Linked DNA regions of Mus musculus. The protein of the gene in region 1 interacts with the protein of each later gene in a pairwise test. Links are inferred from orthologs where the notes say so. Each region holds a gene or a part of one and is shown on either strand. Other genes may lie near its edges.

What was found. The genes of interacting proteins can lie anywhere in the genome.
Region 2: the proteins of Crx (region 1) and Qrich1 interact in binary tests that used the Homo sapiens proteins (3 or more experiments, as listed by UniProt). The two-hybrid records come from large-scale screens. The link is inferred for Mus musculus from reciprocal best matches to the Homo sapiens genes CRX and QRICH1.

What each region holds. Positions count from the first base shown.
Region 1 is NC_000073.6:15,867,699-15,869,978, forward strand, and holds part of Crx (cone-rod homeobox protein), read right to left. Parts: intron 1,797-2,280; coding exon 1,645-1,796; intron 730-1,644; coding exon 82-729; 3' UTR 1-81. UniProt on the Homo sapiens protein: Transcription factor that binds and transactivates the sequence 5'-TAATC[CA]-3' which is found upstream of several photoreceptor-specific genes, including the opsin genes.
Region 2 is NC_000075.6:108,527,070-108,530,595, reverse strand, and holds part of Qrich1 (glutamine-rich protein 1), read right to left. Parts: intron 2,008-3,526; 5' UTR 1,987-2,007; coding exon 1,678-1,986; intron 709-1,677; exon of another isoform or gene 611-708; coding exon of another isoform or gene 581-610; intron 1-580. UniProt on the Homo sapiens protein: Transcriptional regulator that acts as a mediator of the integrated stress response (ISR) through transcriptional control of protein homeostasis under conditions of ER stress.

The DNA of each region.
Region 1 (2,280 bases):
CTCTCCTGGAATCTAAGCTGGAGGAGACAGCTTGAGTCCAGAAAGAGTGATTCCGCTGGAAGGGGGGATATGAAGCCCCTTCTACAAGATCTGAAACTTCCAGGCACTCTGATCTTTGTAGTCCAGAGGGTCCATGGGATTGTAGGTAAATTTCCAGGTGCCTGTGGGGTCCTTGAATTCCAGGCTGTCCACAGGACTGTAGGTGCTATAGCTCTGGCCTGACAAGGAGGTGGGGGACTGGGCCAGGGATGGCCCCACAGAGGGGCCTGAGAGGGGGCTGAGAGCCGGACCCCCAAGTTGGGGCACCATGGGCGAAAGGTAGGGATCCAACCCACTGAAATAGGAACTTGGAGATGCATAAGCTGAAGGGGAAGAACAGAAAGCAGAAGCCGGGGCATAGGTCATGGCATAAGGGGCTGAGGTGAGAGAGGGCCCAGAAGCCACTAGGCCGGCTCTCTGGGCCTCAGGCAAAGGAGCCTCTGAGGCTGGACTCCAAATGGACACGGTGGCCACTGCTGTGGTAGGTGAACCTGAGGGGCCAGGCAGAGATGGGCTGTAAGAATCTGAGATGCCCAAAGGATCTGTACAAACATCTGTAGAGGGTCTCGGGGATGTCCCTGCCTTCCTCTTCGCAGGACGAGCCTTGGTCTGTGCCCCCGGGGGCTGCTGTTGCTGTTTCTGCTGCTGTCGCTGCTGTCTGCATTTCGCCCTACGATTCTTGAACCAGACCTAGATAGAGAGAGGAAATATGGGGGGAAGGGGAGTGAACTCACATGCCAAGAGCAGACAAAGCTGATGGTAAGACCCACACATCACCACTCTGCATCCAATGATAGGGCAGCTCTGTCCATGATCTGTGTACCTGTCCAATCATGCATGTACACGTGCACACAGAAACCTACATGCACTGATCACACACACATATCATACATGCAGGCAATTATACACTACATGCATATACCAGTCATCATGTATCACCTACCTACCTGATTGATCACACATGCATACATACAATCATACATTATTCTCACATAATATGCATGCAGTCACACACACATACACATACATGCATTCAGCCACCCACCTGATCCCATGAATATGTATGCAATTGTGTATTGTCCTCACATATATACATGTAATCATACACATATGAACATATTATATTTACTTGTTCCTGCTTATGAATGCATGCATTATACTCACATATCATACATACAGTCATGCACGTATGAACACATTATATTAACATGCTCCTACTCATGATTATGTATATGTAATCATACATGCATTATAGTCACATATCATACATGCAATCATGTATCTATGCATAAGTACATATATGCATAGATACATGCCATCATGATACATGATACAGCCAATTTCATAGTACACATATGCATGCAATTTTACATATAGATATAATAATACCAAAGCTAGGGATGTAGCTCAGTGGTAGAGCATACACCTGGCATACACAGGGCATCATATAAGAAGAGTGACATATGGAACGTGAGGGGCATTTAGACCACTTCATAAATATGGCTGCTACCCTTGGCTTCTCTCTTTCATCCACTCTGGATCTGACACAGGCCCACAGAAAGTTACAGTAAGGGTATGAGGGGTCCAGGGAGCAGATCATCCTACCTGGACCCTGGACTCAGGCAGATTGATCTTAAGAGCAACCTCCTCACGTGCATACACATCCGGGTACTGGGTCTTGGCAAACAGGGCCTCCAGCTCCTCCAGCTGGCTCCTGGTGAATGTGGTCCGCTCCCGCCGCTGCTTCCTAGGGGCACCTAAGCGGGGGCAAATTAAAGAACCCTCAGGATAGCTAGGTCTGCTCGCCAGAGGCCATGAGGTACAGAGGAATACCTGTCCCAAAGACCTTTCTTCACGTCCATCAGCCTAAACAAGGAGCTTTGATTGATTCTCTGGCCTCCTAGTGGCTGCTCAGTCCCCAGAGGAATTGAGGAATTGTGTTCCAGTCATTCATTCACTGACAGAAACTGGTTTTAGCCCTACAAGAATTTGCCCTTCCATTTTGTTCTTGTTTCATTCCTACCCCCTCCTTCCCTTTCTTCTCTTCCTTCTCCTCCTCTCTCTCCCCTTCCTCCTTTCTTCCTACTTCTCTCTCTCCTATCCTCCCTTTTCTCTTCCCCTTCCTTTTATCCCTCCCCCTCTCTTTCATTACAACAGGGTTTCACTACATAGCCCAGGCTAGCCCTGAAATCATGGTCTCAAGAGATCCTCCTACCTCAGCCTCCCAAATCTCTGGAACTA
Region 2 (3,526 bases), on another chromosome or scaffold:
CATCTACATGAAAAGTATGATATCCAGGTAATTCTAAACAGAGGATTCCAGAGTCTCACTAGCCAGCTACAATAGCCACTCAGTGAGCCACAGATTCAGTGAGAGAGAATGTCACTAGGAGGAAGAGAAAAACAAAGATGTGGGAAATAAGCAAACATCAACCTCTGACCTCTAGAGATGCACACACAAACACCTCACGCACATAAGTTGTTTTGAGTAATATACTTAACCTGGACAAGATTTAAAGAACGAATACAAGGAAAATATGTGTTGGTTTACAATGCCATTTTAATATGAGCTTGCAGGGGATCCTAAAATGAATTCCTCAAAACTCGAGGGATAATGGTTGCTTTAGAATCCCTAACAGCTTTTGAGGAATGAATGTATGCTTTAAAATGCTTGTTCAGTACCCAATCTTTGTCTATCTATAGAGGATCATTCAAAGTAACATTTAGATCTCAGCTTGGTAAATCCAGAGAACTTTTCCCTCTTCCCAACAATTCTCTTGTTACCTTATTCTGTATCTGTACTTTATTTTTATCAATTATTCAGAATTGACCAAGATGGACCCAGAACTCACAATTCTAGAATTACAGGCATGTGCTATCATGGTCAGAAGACTCAGTGGCTTGCTTCTCTTTTCTTTCAGACAGGATCTTACTTTGTAGTGTCAGCATTCGGAGAGCATAAATTACACTTGAGTTACACCTGGTTAAAATTTAGAGAGGTTTAAAACCATGTTTGTTATTACATGTGTTTTTAATGTAATATATGGGTGCACATGTGTCACAGTGTATGTGCAGAGAAGTCAGAGGACAATTTTGAGGAATCTATTCTCTTCTTTCATCTATGGGTTCTAGCACTGGGTTCAGGTCACTATTTCTGCTACAGGCACTATACCTGCTGAGCCACTTTACCAGCCACATTTAGTGGGGTTTGATCTTCTTCTTCTCCCCCCTGCTATTGTGAGGAATTTTCTTACTCTCTATGATCACTAATGAGGGAAATGCAGTTGGGCATGGTACTCACCTGTAATCCCAGGAACTAAGGAAGCTGAAATAAGAGTATGTTTTGACTTTGAAGGTAGTCAGGACAACATGGAATACAGTATAAAATCCTGTCTCAAAATAAAAAAATAAGGGCTGGCGAGATGGCTCAGCGGGTAAGAGCACTGGCTGCTCTTCCAAAGGTTCTGAGTTCAAATCCCAGCAATCACATGGTGGCTCACAACCACCTGTAAAGTGATCTGGCACGTCTGAAGACAGCTACTGTGTACTTATATATAATAATAATAATAAACAAATAAATCTTTGAGCCAGAGCGAGCAAGGACTGAGGGAGGAGAGTTGGAGCAAGAGGAGGTCCTAAAATTCAATTCCCAACAACCATATGAAGGCTCACAACTATCTGTACAGCTTGAAGCTCTCACATTCAAATGCAGTGCTGGCCTCTACTTTTCTGTACTATTCAAGCTCTCTAAAGCAAATAAGTATCTGTGGACTTTATAGTTTACAATGGCTAAAGATATTATCAGTCCATATTAAATATGAAAGATTCCACACTACAATAAAATAACTTCCAGCATTTCTAACATCTGTATAGGTGTGTTGTAGCTATCCTAAACTGTGAGAGAAGAGAAAAGTTTATTAACAGGCTCCAACTAAATATTTCCTCTTACCTGAACCTGCTGTGGCTGCTGAACCTGGATCTGCTGCTCTTGCTGAGTTTGTGGTTGAACACTGGTTGTGACTGGACAAGCAAGTTCAAGCAAAGACCCAGCCACTTCAGTGCTGTCTGTATAAATGCAGTTCCCACCCTGCTGGTACACCATGGTGGTGGTGGCAGTCTGCTGGAACTCCTGAAGAGCTTCTGGTCCCTTAGAAGCCAGTGAGTCCAGAAATTCCTTCATCCTGTGTTGCGGGACAGACCTCGCCTTTACTCGGATGTACTCTTCAAATGAGATGGTGTTCTCTAGAGAATTATTCATATTGCAGAGTCCTTAGGGTTCCTAAAATTAAAACGGATAGTCAACACTCTGCTGTTAGCATATTGGTTTTATATTTTTTACATTAATTATTGGGGTATAGGCATGCACATGCCAAGACATGCGTGTAGAAGTCAGAGGACAACCCACTTAAGTTGGTTTTCTCTTTCCACCATGTAGTTCTCAGGGATCAAAATCAAGTCATCAAGCTTGGCAATAGGTGGCTTTACCTACTGAGCCACCTTACCAATCCTACTGTTTGTATATCTTGAAATCACGAAATACACAGACACAATAACTGGCAATGAGAATGAAATAGTCTGTGTATTATATATAACATCATATATACATATGTGTGTGTGTGTATACATACACACACACACACACACACACACACAAAATACTTAAGTTTTATATTAAACCTTCCCTTTCTCCCCAAAATAAATTGTGGGTTTTTTTTCTTTTAAATAAGGTTGTTACTATGAATCCTTGGATGGCCTGCAACTTGCTATGTTGACAAGCTGGCCTCAACTCCAGAGATTCACCTGCATCTGCCTTGAGAGTTGTGCCCGTCTCCATGAGGTATTTTTGTTTTTTAATGTTCAGTGTGTGTACAAGATAATACAGAGCACACATGCCATGACAAGTGTACAGAGGCAGAAGACTAAGTTTGTACAGTTTGTTCTTTCCTACCACATTTACACGGGTTCCAGGGTTGAAACTCATAGGCTTATATAAGTGCCTCTCATCTGCTGTTAGCACTTCACCAGCCCTTGTGGCCCATCTGTGCTAGATTTCCATGTAGCCCAGGCTGGCTTAGAACCTAAGGAAATTCTCCCACTCCTGAGTACTGGGATTACAGGTGCAAGCCAGAATAATATGCTCATCATCTTTCAATATTTTGTTTGATTTTCCTAGACAGGGAACAGCCCTTTGTAACAGCCCTGGCTATCCAGGAACTCACTGTGTATATCAGGCTGATCTTGAACTCATAGAGATCCACCTGCCTTTGCCTCCTGAGTGCTGGGATTAAAGGCATGTGCCAACACTGCTTGGGCCTTCAACAGTTCTTAAACTATCATACTTAAAAAAAAAATCAAGCACATTCAAGTACTGGATAGAATAGGCTGGAATTATATTTTCCATCCAGCACCAGGCCAATTTCATCCTCTCTATGGAGTCAAGAATTAGACAGTAATGTGGCATGCAAAACCACTCCCATGCCTGTTTGCATATACCCTTCTTCAAAGGACTTAAAAGGCAGATGCAGGTGGAAATCTAAAGGTTTGAGACCAACCTGGTCTACAGGGCAAATTACAGGCCAATCAGAGTTATAGAGTGAGACCCTAACTCCAAATAAATAACTGTCCTAATACCACAGAAAAGAATACCAAACAAGGGGAGGGAGATATGAGCAGATTCCTACTTACTGACATGTTTTTGTTTGGTTGGTTTTTTTTTTTTTTTTTTTTTTTGAAACAGGGTCTTACTATGTAACTTTGTCTGGTCACCTGGCCCTTACTGACATTTTATTTCTACTACT